2 linked regions of the Caenorhabditis elegans genome follow. The protein of the gene in region 1 interacts with the protein of each later gene in a pairwise test. Each region holds a gene or a part of one and is shown on either strand. Other genes may lie near its edges.

Evidence for each region.
Region 2: the proteins of T04F3.1 (region 1) and kin-2 interact in a two-hybrid assay, tested with the Caenorhabditis elegans proteins (one large-scale study listed by BioGRID).

The regions. Positions count from the first base shown.
Region 1 is NC_003283.11:11,738,272-11,743,196, reverse strand, and holds the start of T04F3.1 (Aminotransferase class I/classII large domain-containing protein), read right to left. Parts: upstream 3,133-4,925; 5' UTR 2,968-3,132; coding exon 2,809-2,967; intron 2,348-2,808; coding exon 2,249-2,347; intron 1,802-2,248; exon of another isoform or gene 1,717-1,801; intron 1,363-1,716; coding exon 1,093-1,362; intron 1,049-1,092; coding exon 759-1,048; intron 562-758; coding exon 1-561.
Region 2 is NC_003284.9:5,971,797-5,979,836, forward strand, and holds the start of kin-2 (cAMP-dependent protein kinase regulatory subunit), read right to left. Parts: upstream 6,059-8,040; coding exon 5,938-6,058; intron 5,879-5,937; coding exon 5,796-5,878; intron 5,016-5,795; exon of another isoform or gene 4,877-5,015; intron 2,488-4,876; exon of another isoform or gene 2,466-2,487; coding exon of another isoform or gene 2,388-2,465; intron 2,116-2,387; exon of another isoform or gene 2,000-2,115; intron 1,873-1,999; exon of another isoform or gene 1,738-1,872; intron 1,409-1,737; coding exon 1,202-1,408; intron 1,138-1,201; coding exon 1,024-1,137; intron 978-1,023; coding exon 864-977; intron 820-863; coding exon 705-819; intron 639-704; coding exon 435-638; intron 72-434; coding exon 1-71. UniProt on the Caenorhabditis elegans protein: Controls the rhythmic contraction of enteric muscles probably by regulating G-protein coupled receptor aex-2-mediated calcium influx in GABAergic DVB neurons.

The sequences.
Region 1 (4,925 bases):
GTTACATCTTCGCCTACACTTCCAACGACTGGATGCCTACTTTCCGGTTCTGAAACTCTTATCGGACCGATTACGTTGACCTGAATATGATTGACCCGATGATTTCCTGGAGGTGAACTCCTTGCCCGTGGAATTGTAGAAAATCTTGACTCGTATGAAGTATCTGTACACGAATCATTCATAGATATAGATGTAATTCCTGCAGTTAAATTTCGACCTTCAACATTATCATTCATAGAAACTGATGTATTTCCTGGTTCAGGAGATTTTACAGTAACTCTTCGACTCTTCTCAGTACTTGATTGCTCTTGAATAACTTCGTCATCATCTCGATAATAATGCAATGATTCTTCTCTTCCTAATCGTTTTCTTGGTGGAGCAATCGGTGACATTGTTGGAGATGAATTCTGAAGAGGATCAGCTGAGCGAGAACGTCGTGTGACAGCATCTCTATAAATTATAACACTTCCAGAATCACTTGAATCATCATCTGCTCCTTTTGTTTCTTCGTCCACAAATTTCCGGTAATACAGTGTATGAACTTCTGGTTTTGCGGAGCTTCTGGAAGTAAAACCATTATTGTTTAAGAGTTTATTTTAAGCTTTGCAAGTAAGTTTTAAGATAATTTCAGTATTAACAGACTTCGTAAAATGTTTTGAGGATCTATCAATGATTTTGCCACAAAAAAACCGATAACAATGTTTCTTGTAACCCGAGGTCCAGATAGAAAAAAAATCTTAAAGATGATTTAAATTTACCTCTTTGAATGAGTACTATGAGCACTGCTACTTCTTCTTGTAGTTGTCACATTCTCTGTTTCAGTTACAGAAGTCTTTGTAGTAGTCGACACTCTTTTCCTTAAATCCGCAAAGCGACGCCTTGTACCATTATTTCCATTTGCTTTCTGTTCTGTTCTTTCTGATTTCTTTTCAGATGTCTCTCTAAGAATTGGATGTCTAAACTCTAAATCTATGATATTATCACTAGACCGGTTGAAAAGTGTACTATTGGCTGATGGAGGTTGACGAGATTTTGTTGAGCTCTCCATCTAAAATTATAATAAATTATTAACCATTCTAACTTGGTTCTTACTTTTGTGTTAATCACGTCTTCATATACAAATTTATTTGTTTGGTGTTTCTTTTGAGTGCAATTGAATGGTTTATGTGTTTCTTGAATACGAATTACGGTCCCTTTTCCCAAGTCTTCTCCGTTGTCTGATCTGTCCAACTCTTCACAAGAATGCCATTTCTCGTGTAAATGTTTTATGGAAACGTTAACCGGATGAGGTCCAGCCGGCGAAACGTTTGTCACTTTAACTTCACACGAAGACGGATGCTTGTCTGGTGCTCCGTTGACTATCTGAATTAAAATTATTTTTTACATTTCGCCTTTCAAACACCTATTTTATGAATTATTTTCAACAATCACAATACATATGATAGGAGAAGAAAATGAAGGTCAAAATGAAAATAATTTTGTTAACTGCGATAAGTTCATGTTATTCCGACCAGCGAAAACAAGTTGTTTAGAATCTTTGTTATGAGTTTCGTATTAATCGAAATTTCGTCATCGAAATTTTATAAAATTCTAGTTTTTTTATTGTTTGATTTTTCAGACGCTTTATAGAAATCAATGTGAACAATCAGTCTACTGAATGTTTAATTTTTGAAATGCTAGCTTTCAGTATTAATTTCTTTTCTTCGAAAATCGAAAGAATCTTAAAGTCGGAAGTTCCGTAAAATAGTTTTTTTTGGAAACTTTCATAGAACCTTCTCATATTTTATTACTTTGTTGCAATTTCCTATAATCTCATATTACTTTTTCTTTCATCCCTTTCAATACATTCCACAAAAATCTGAAAGTGAAATGAAAAGTTATTCAAAGAAACCGAGAAGAAAAAGTGTGTTGCGCAGGTATAGTGATCAGTTTGAGGGTGAAAGTTCAGTAGTCGGTTCTTGATTGGTTTTGAAGATAGTAGTGAATTGAAAAGAATTATGATGATGATGGGGTATCAAGATGTGAAAATATGAATTGAAAGTGTGGAAGTTGGTTTTTGCAGGTGTTGGAACAAAATTGAAAAGAATCGACATGGTAGATTATTATGAAAACGAAGAACTTGACAAAGGATGGTAAATAAAAGAAGAAAGAGAAGAATCAGACAAACAATGTCACTGATCATTAATTGATTGATTATTACCTGACTTTTGAGAGAAGAAACTCGAAAAGAAACAAAAAAAAAACAAACCTCAGTGACAGTGACAGTTTTCGTGATTTCAACAAATTTTTCTCTTCGACGTGGCATCAGATTCTGATAATCGTGTGTCAGAATGTTGCGTAGAAACTTCTAAAAAATGAATATTTAATGTCAATAAGTTTCTATTTTTAATTAAAAGTTGTACTGTCACTTGCAGATCATTTTCTATAACATATGGCAACGCTTGAAAAAATTCAGTGCAAGCCATCAAAAAACCTATCTGTGCCTATGAGACAAAAACTACGAGGTTAAATTTTCAGCAGATCCCAAATTCTCACGAGTGGCAGTTTACTTTACGCTAAATTTGAATGTACTTTTAAGTAAGAGTTCTATTTTAGGTACAAACTTCTGAAGGAAGCTATAGTTTTAATGAATAAAGTTTGCTCCTTTATTTTCAAAAAATGTTGTACATTGCTAAAAATGCATTTGCGAGAAAAAAAAACGTTTCGACTTCACAAAATCAAACCTTTTTTTAAAGAAACACGGAACCAAAAGAACTTTTGTTAATCACAGCTTGACTGAATACTGTACTCATGAAAACCCTCTCTTACCTCAGAAAATGACTCGTGATCGTCGGACAACTGATGACTCAAAAACGGAGCGTCGTCGAGTTGCTCGTCATCAGAATTGAGTGATGGCGGTGAATCTGCTGAGAAGTTGCCACCGTCTTCGACGTTCTTGGACAATGATGTCGGAGCTGCGATCATCATAATTTCAACGATGCCATTCAAGAGTAAATTGAATAAAGAATATAAAGAGAGTAGAAGCAGACAACGGGGTGAATGAAAAGGTAGAGATGAGATATAGGAAATGCGCGGAAGAAGTGTATCAGCACGTACTACTCACTCCCACCCATCACACTGATTAACAATGATATCTGTTATCGTCTTCTTGTCTTTCTTTTTTTTGAAGCGATATGCTTGCGGGTTGTCACACCTATTTCAAGAACGCGCATCGCATCACGACGTCAGTTTGGTTTTTGGTTTATCGTCTGAGGTCGATAGTTTTTGATTGGATTAGAAAATGGATTAGAGGATAGTTTAAACTAGAAACCAAACAGATATAGTATCGAAGGATACGGAAAAGAGTTTTCAATAGTACAAAAATTAATTACAAAAAAAAATAAAACTGTCAAAAAAAAAACACTAAAAATTGATAGAATTTTATATACAGTGAAATTAACAATTAACAGAAGTTAACAAATAATATATTTTTTCAAAGATTCACTCACTATCAGAACTTCTCGAAAGACTCATGGGAAGATCTCATATATAAAACATATTAATTTCGAAAGTACTGATTATTTTCAATTTTTTGATGTTTTTTTGTAGGTTTTCAATGACTTTATAAGTGTTTAAGAGCATGAAAAACATCTGGATCTATTTTTTTGTAATTTATAATTTGTTGAAAAATTATCTCAACCAAAAATTAGATCAAAAATTGTTTTTGATTTCTAAAAATCTCCCAGAGAATTTGCTGATCCCTAAACATTCGTACAACTATCAAAATTCTAATCTTCAAAAAATCAGGTACAATTAAAACTGTTCCTTGTGAAGTCAATAATAATTGAGAGAAAAACGACGTTCTGTAATATGTTCAAAAAATTGAATCGATTGTGTGTTTGTACTGGCAATGAAAAATATGAAAAATCAGTTTGCATAAATTCCAATACGAACCACACAAAAGACGATGAGAAAATGTTGACGTGGAATCCCAAAAAAATCGGTTTTTTTTCAGCGAAAAGTGAACAAAACATGTTCACACCATTTAGCTGAATACATGTAATAGAGAAAACAAAACAGAGATTTGTTGGCAAAGTCGCCATTGGAAGCCGATCAAGTACATGTTCATGTTTGCCTACTGTTACTAGATGTTTTATTGTTTACATCTTACTTATTTGTTTTTTGAATTATCGAGAGAAACATTAAAACGCGAAAAAACAATCAGACTAAAACAGTACAATAAAAGTTCAAGTATCGCAACAATGTCTGAACGATTAGGAGATGAAAGTGACCGACAGAGATGGGAAGGAATGTTGACTTGTTTAAAATAGTTTAAAACAAGAAACAGGTTGCAGAAAGTTAGAAATACGGGGTCGAATAACACAATGAAAAGCAGAAAAAAGGTACTCGAAAAACGATAAAAAAAAGTACGAGAGGAAATAGGTGGGCACGGGGGAAAGTGGGAGGAAAGGCTAATTAAACGGAAAAGGGGCAAGCAAAAGTCGAAATATGGTTACGGTTGATGGAAAGAAGGATTCAATTACTACGTACAATTGACCAAATTGATAATTGACGAACTTTTAAAAATTTTGTTTACTTTTTGTTTATGTTGTATTGTGTTGAAAACTAAATTGTGCCGAATTATACGCATCATTTTGAAAAAGGTAACTCTCTGCCAATTTTAAGTTCTTGAAAGTCATCTATCATCTAATTTGAACGGTTTTATTTATGTAAGCCAAGTCAGTAAGAAAGTGAGTTTAAAAAATAGATAATACAAAAAATAAATATGAAAAATAAATACAAAACCAAGATTTTGGCGAGTTTGTGGTTTCTTACAATAAATTCTTGATAGATTAACAGATACCTTCAAAAACAAATCAATGGTTGAAATACTAATTTTTAACGAAACCAGGAATTCCTACAACTGTCAAAATTAAACTGGCACA
Region 2 (8,040 bases), on another chromosome or scaffold:
GATGCACTTGAGATGGGTTTTGGCAACAACGGTGGCGGCACGTGGGCGGTCGAGAAGAAGAGCGATTTCTCCTGAAATTGTGACATTGAAATAAAGCTTTCATTCAGGCGTCGACAAGGGTCGCGACCCACGCCTACTGATTAGTGCGGTTCAAAAATCAAAACGTGTCGGGCTCTGGTGCAAACACCAGGGTTTTGATTTAACACCAAAATGCAAAGCGACGTCATTCCCTGAAACCGCGCCTGCATTTCATGAAAAGCCTACATTGATATATGAAGTGTCACAAAAATCTTGTCTAGAGTTATATTTCAATAAAAAAAATGTTTGCATTTATTGAATCACCCGCATATTGCCAAATACAATTAGTTTTTTGATCTTTCCATGTTTGTTCATTTTTTTTCCAATTTTTCTCTTTTTTTCTGATTATTGCTCACCGAAATAGTCCGACATTCCAAGATGTCCGACAACGTCGAATGGTGCGTCGTCGCTTCTCTTCTGCAACACATTGGCTTCTCCCTCGAGAATGATGAAGAATTCGTCTCCGGGTTGTCCTTGCTCGACGACATGAGTTCCTGGCTCGAAGTCGCATCTCTCAAGAGCATCAGCCACGTTAGCGCGCTCCCACTGGTCGAGATCGGCTGAAAGATGATTGATGAGTCTCGGCTTAAGTTCATTTTTCTTCTCTGGTTCTTCAATTTACTTACCCAAGATTTGAACCTTGGAGAGGAACTCGTCATACATCTTTCTCTTCTTTGTTACTGATCCCATCAAGATACGACGGTAGGTGAGACGGTCGATGGCCCACAATTTCACGTCGGTCTGGAAGAAAATATATAAAATGAATTTGAGTGGCATTTTGCCACCTTGGCAATGACGGTTGCAGCACGTGGAGTTCCATAGATCAAAGCAAGTTCTCCAAATGATCCACCCTCGTTGATGGTGAGAACGTACTCGTGATTGACGTAGACATCAACGGTCTTAAATATGAAAGTACGGATAAGCTCTTAGAGAGAAGCAACTCACTCCCTTATCAATAACATAGAAGTTATCTCCTTCTTCTCCCTGTTCGATGATGGTCTCTCCAGCAGACTTCTCAACTGGGAACATGGCATCGTACATGGTTTTTTGCTCATCCTCCTAAAAACCAAAAAATTGAATAAAAATTTAATGTTATTAGAAATTTTTTTGGGAATTTATTCACCTCCAAATGAGCAAAGAGCAAGTTCTTCCTCATGGCTGACTCAAGCGACCTTCTTGTAGCATCATCCTTTGGAATCACAACCTTCTTGTACTCGGTATCGTCCTCCTTGATTGGTTCGGCAGAGATTCCGGTTCTGCGTCCACCTGATCTCTTTGGTGGCTCCACAATGATGTCGTCATCATCAGCAGCGTCCGGATTTCCTCCTTCCTGAAATGTTAAGATTTGATAAGGAAAGTTTGAAAATAAAAGATGTGCAAAATAACAAACCATTTTGGAATTTTCCTGTTTCAGTTAGTTCAGCGACGGAAAAAATGAATGAAAAATCAAAATATAAAATGACCAGAACCAGTTCAGTCAATTACTGACCCTCTGCTATTTTTTTTTTGTTTCGACAAAACGTTAACCTTGAGGTTGGAAATTGTAAATCGGGAATCGTATTAAGTGGGCCACCAGGTAATGTAAATTATGTTACGCCGCAAACTTACTTGTTTCTGTTTAGCAACAGGGCAACCGTCTCCGCCTGTCTATTTGCGCAATAAAAACAACACAGCAGAAAGTAAATACACCCACTCGCTCACTCACCCGGTACATGTTCAACTCCATTTTTAAGGTGTGAACCACTGAATTGAAAATGGATTGGAAGAATTTTTCAATGGAAAGAAGCAAGAAGAAAAACGCAAGGAAATATGAAGTGCGGTGCACACTGAGCCAATCTATCGCCGAGCGAGCTGCCGCGCCGTCTAATGTGCTTCAAATGCGTACTCGTAGCTCTCGCAAGTCTCTTCGTCCTACAATTTTGCTAGTGCTCCATCAAGGTTCCAGCGCTTCCCCTTTTTTCATTTCATTCCACGCCGCTCATCATTCATCCGTCGTGACTGAGATTCGATCATACTAGCAGACACCTGGTTACTTTTGTTTCTGTTGTGCAAAACAATTTCTTATTTTTGAGGTCTCCCTTTATTTTTGTTTTTTTTTATTTCTAGAAGTTTGCAGAATCCGTTTAAAATTGCCTAAAAAGATCAGGTTTTGAACAGTTCAAATTTCTAACTTGATTTTTTCAAGAAATTTTATTAAATGTGATGTTTGAAAACATAGAAGCCATTCTAATCAGAGAATTAATTCGAACTACGCATGAAATCCAAAAATCCATAAGAAAAAAGTGATTATCCTCTCAAAAAACTATCACCTTAGGCTTTGGAGTCTTTGCGTTTTTTGTGGCGCCCACAGATTGCGAGTTTCGTCGGTTGCTCAATTGCTGCCCCATCACATTCCTTGGTGGTGATACTCTGACAATATTGATTAATAACTTGGTTAAAAGAATAAGAAAAAGTCTATGTAGGTGAAAAAAGAGGAATGTAACGGCAATTTTCTAAGAAGCAGATGTTTTGGAATAAAACATATCCATGGAAACCAGAGTTGTGGTGAGCAGTCAAATAAATATTTGAAAAAACAAACACTATGACTATTGTAAATGAAGGAACACGTCAGGAGGCAAATAAGGCAATTGTGTGTGCGTCGAACTTTCAACTACAACAACTATGACAAAACATTGAGTAGTATGTTGTAGTTGGAGGTAGAATGAGAAGGCTAAAAACAAGACGAAAATCAAAATCGGACCGGGTTTCCACATGAGACCTAATTGAAGGCGTGTGAATGTTTTTCTTGCTGTGGTAGCGCAAAATGAACGAAACAGAAAGAGGGAGAGGAAAGGACGGAAGAGGAAAAAGTAAGAATGTCAATATCTGAAAGAGCTTTGCCAGTTGTATTTAGTAGGTGGAGGGCACAACGACTTCATGCATTTTTGTCTCAAGCAACCGGCAATTTACTATAGCAGCCGCAACATTTAGACAGAAAATAAATAGTCTCGAATTGTTCCTCTATTCTTACTCATGTTGTTTTATGAAACAACAAAAAAAAATTCAATTTCAGTATTTCTAAGAGTAACTATTTAATTTCTGATTTGTCGCATCGAAGTTAATTTACGATGAGTGTATTGTGCTCACAGAGAGTATTATGCACACATTGAGAAATATCCAATAAATGACAAATTCCCTATCTTAAAAATCTGCCACGTTATTCTTAGAATTCATAAAAGTTTCTGTGGTACAGAAAATAAAAATCAGCTGATTTTATAGAAAATGACACAATGATAACGTTCGAGGCATTTTTTACGTGGAGAAAAACAAAGAGAATGGTATGACTAATATTTCAATTCGTTTGAAAAAAAAACCCATTTTACTAGTTTTCGAACATATTCAATAAAACCTCGTAAAAAACGAGCTATTTATTCGAATAGTTTTTCTCTCAAAAATCAATAAAGTCATTTAGCATCAGAAAAGCGTGACTCTTTTCATTCTCTCCATTTAACTTGGCATCGTTCTCTATCTCTGAGGCGGTCATAAAAACACTCGGCCGGATAGAAGCTGCCTTCGGGGCAAATTTTATTCGATTATTGAATTTGACAGACAAATATAACGAAAACGAGGCGGAGAGAAGATAGAAAATATCGGAGTATGCACTTCCTAGTTTTTCGAAAATAAAAGTTGTAAAACTTTAAAAATGAAAAAAAAATTGTGTATCAGCATTTGCCAAAAAATTTTCATAAACGAGTGTTTAAAATAAACTATTTTTCTGGGGAAGCGGTTGGAAAGAAGAGAGAACATAAAAGATCGATAAACGTCCGAACAGTATGCAAAAGAAATATGTTGAGAGACGCAGGAAATGGAAGGTACGCACACTTTATGGTCCTTTAGTGAATGGCATTGGCAAATTTAGTATGTTAAATTTCAAAACTTAGTTTTCCATTTCAAAATTAATATTTCTATTTACAATTTCAAAAAAAAATACAAACGTTCAAATTTTTCAATAGAAATTTAAACACACTTTTTTAATGACCACATTCCAAAAAACCGCCCCAATTCGATTTTGATAAGCTGTGTCTAAAACTGAAACACATGTGTACAAAAAAAGACATAAAAATTGGAGTGTGAAAAGTGGACTCGAGTGTTTTAGTTTTATTGTGTTTTTTTGAATGTTCCCAAATTGAAATTCTAGAGCTCCGAACTTTTTGTGTTGTTTTTCATCATATATATATATATATATATATAATCGTTTCGAGAACCTTTTCAGAATGTTGCAAGTAACGATGACGTCATAAAAAGTTTGTAATACCTTATATTTCCTGGATTATGACTAATGTTGTTTTTTGTTTGAAGCGTTTAAAATTTGTGACAGAAAAAAAAGCAAAATGTTTTGGAATTTTAAAAATTAGGTGTCAGAGAAAAAAAAAGGTTAAATCTAGAATTTCACATCTTCAAAGAACGTGACAATGATGTTTGGTTCGTCGTCACTGTTACTGTTTCCTCTTCCCTTTCTTTCACCTGACCTCCTAAAGATTTATGACTAGTCTTTTGACTTTTGTTATTTTTGTGAAAATACTACCTACTTCAATTATTTTCGAAACAAAAATTCCAGACACAAAATGCGAGGGTGTTGAAAAAACAACGGAGAACAAAAAGCATGGAGCATTAAGGAGCGGCAGAAGGAGAAGAAAAATGCGATCGTCCGAAGAGCAACGAAGAGCAAGAGAAATCTGCCCCGAGGCCTTCTTCATTCTTCGTCACTTTCTCTCCGCTTCACAAACCGGACCCGAAAAAAAGGGAAAAGAGCTCGGCAGCTGAGCCAATGGCTGCGGGCGCTCGATGCTCGATGGACAGCTCTGGAGGGCTCATTGGGACTCGTCTCAAAGGGCCCATTCTCTCAATTCTCTTCGTTTTCGTTACGCCTTATCCGCTCTCTTTCATCCTTTCGTTTTCCCAGCTAACTAGTGCCTCTTTTTCTTCTTCCTCTTCTTCTTTTTCTTCTCTTTCTCCAGAGGACCCCGACGGAAAAACGACATACACAAGGCTTGCTTTCTATGAAAAAAAGAAGCAACACAAGACGAAAAAAAAAACGAAGTGAAGCTTCATTTTCATTGATTCGAGCCATAAACGCGGAGGAATGACGAAAAAGACACAGGAAGATGTTTGACCTAATTTGCATTTTCCAGTTTTTTCTCAAGCTTTTTTTTGCAGTGCATCTCATTAAAAACAAGATCGAAACAAAAAATCATGACGCTTGGCTCCCACAAAACCGGATAAAATATTCAAATATTTGAAGCGAGTCAAACGAGATTTTCGATGCCTCAAAAACTTGGTACTATGAATGAGAATAAAATAACAAATTTCACTGATCTAGAACAATGATATAATTATAAAGCTATGTGAATTTCAAATTTGAAAGTCTGAAACCGAGTTTCATGGTTCAGAAAACACGAACAATTAAATAAAAATCCTGAAGAATTGTAAAACCCCCATCACAAATTGTACTCAAAACGTTATAATACGCTTATGCAACACTACGTTTTCCGATAAGAAGAACCGTTTCAAAACGCAACAATTAACTTTTTTGGCGTACCACGTCAATACTCTTTCAGTGTCAGCAAATTTGAATACTTTTTCTGGTCATAATTTCGAACTGGTTCTGTCATTCTTCTCACTTTTATGTTGAAAATATTTTTTTTTTCAATTTCTAAATTCTCTGCAACTCAACTAACCTGTGCTCGTTGTTCGTTGAGTTTTTCAAAATGATCCTTCAAGAAGAGAACCGGGTTGTCGGGTTTGTGTATGCACAGAACAACTGGAAAAATCGTATTCTTACTTTCGTGTTATTATTTTGCTAGATTTTCAAAAACTCACCAATTGCTTCTTTGACAAGCTGCTGAATGTTGTGTCGTTGCACATAGGCCTGGCATTGTGCCAACTGATCCTCTTCGTTTCCACCCGACATAAAAACAATGTCACCTGAATAATTGTTCATAATTTTCAGTCATTTCTTGTTTTAAACAAACAAAAGAGACAAAAATGCGAGAAAAATAGCAGAAAACACACGTTTGAAATGAGATGAAAACTTGGTGGGGAAGGTAACAGACTTTTGACGGGGGATGCCGCGGAAAAGAGCGAGATGAGCGGTTACCGAATGAATGCTGATACACCCGCCAGTGTACAACATTTTGGAAAATCTTGGCACACAGCCTTCCCAGTAGATCAAAGCAGAATTGAGCAGCAAAAAAAGGAAGAAAAAGTGGAGAAGAAGGAAAAAACAGAGAGGAGGAGCAAGAAAAGAAAATTGATACCCAAACTTGGTTGAGCGAGAGAACGAGAAAAGAGAGAAAAGAAAAAGAGAAAAAGAGAAAAATCAGATAATTGATTTGTTGAAATTTGAAGACAAGTTCAGTTCATCACTTTGATCACACAGATGGTCGGAAAGTAAATATGATGATTGATGGTGATAATTAGCAGAATGAAAAACGTCGTCGCGCAAGTACTGAGACCGGAAACTATAATTTAAAGATAAAGGGAATTTCCTCTTTTGATAGGAGATCAACGGTTACAATATGTCGCGGAAACGGACGAATTTGATTTGAGATTTTTTTGTTTAATTCATATAGAGTTACAAGCAGCTACAAATGTATAGAAATAATTTTGATGTATACGGTTTTGAATTGTTTGCATGTATAGACTCGAAATGTACTCAAATGAACTTCTCAAAAAATAAATAAGCTATTCCGTTCGAGGGGGCGTTTAAAATTTGGGAAACACTTTTCTGCGTTGCAAATTAACTGCATTAAAGTATCATTTGTATTGCATATTTTTATAATTTATCTCACGTTTTTTTGTTAATAAGGGTGCATTTAAAGTTGATAGGTTACCAAACATAATTGAAATTCAGTACTTATCGGCTTTTAACACACTTGAATCAACTAAATAATGTGAACCAAACAATCAATAAAAATGATAATTCCATTAAAAAATATATATATAATTTTCATTCTCTGCAACTTGGAAACTTTAGCAAAACTGGTGAATCTATCAATTGTTGGTCTTTTTTGAATTTCGAATGCTAATTCGAGCCCATTTTAAGTACAAGCAAAAAACAGCAATTATTTGTTGTTCAAACCCTATTTTTTAGAAAATGCATTTAATACCTACGAATGCTAACTTTTCTCTCGCCTCTTCCCCCTCCCTATGCGGTTTCTAGGCGGGTTTGTAAACCTTTTTGCATGCGAGAGAAACAAGTGATGATAATAAACTAAACTAAACGTTCAGAAATCAATATCACAATGTGAAAATGTGAAAATGACCTATCGATGAAATCGAGGGTGTCTTCATGTTATCGCCCAATTACAACGGGGCATTTCCCCTCGGACTCTTGCTCTACACCACCCGTGGCCTTTGGTCTTTGGCATATGACGTAAATTGAAATAGGAACAGGGAGAACTGAACAATATTTTTTATCCTATTGCATGCTGGTAATCAAGTTAGCATACCAGCCGACTCTCAGCTTATCTTTAATCCATATAGGCTAATCTGTCGGATTTTTGGTACAAAAATGTAAAAGTTTTGTTGGATAAAAAGCAACGTTTCTATATTATACGGAACGCATCAAACGGGACAAAAAACTGAGAAATCGCGAAAAAGCAAAGCAAAAAGGAGAAGGAGCCCTATGAATCATGGAAGAAGCGTGAGGAGACAGAGGCAGGGACAACGACAACGACGACGCCCGGGGAAATTGTTTTTTTTTTTCGGCGTCTTCTTCGTGGAGCGCCCACCCGTTTTTTAGGTCTCAGGAGACCCTCTGCCTGTGACAGAAAAGAGGAATGTTTGAATTAGGTAGTTTTATAAGAAACCGCCCAGCGCCCATAAATTCTTTCTTTTAATCACTTCTCAATCAAAAACTCTCAATGTCAAAATCGTTATAAAAATTATTTTTCTAATCAATCTTCTAATTTCCAAATTACT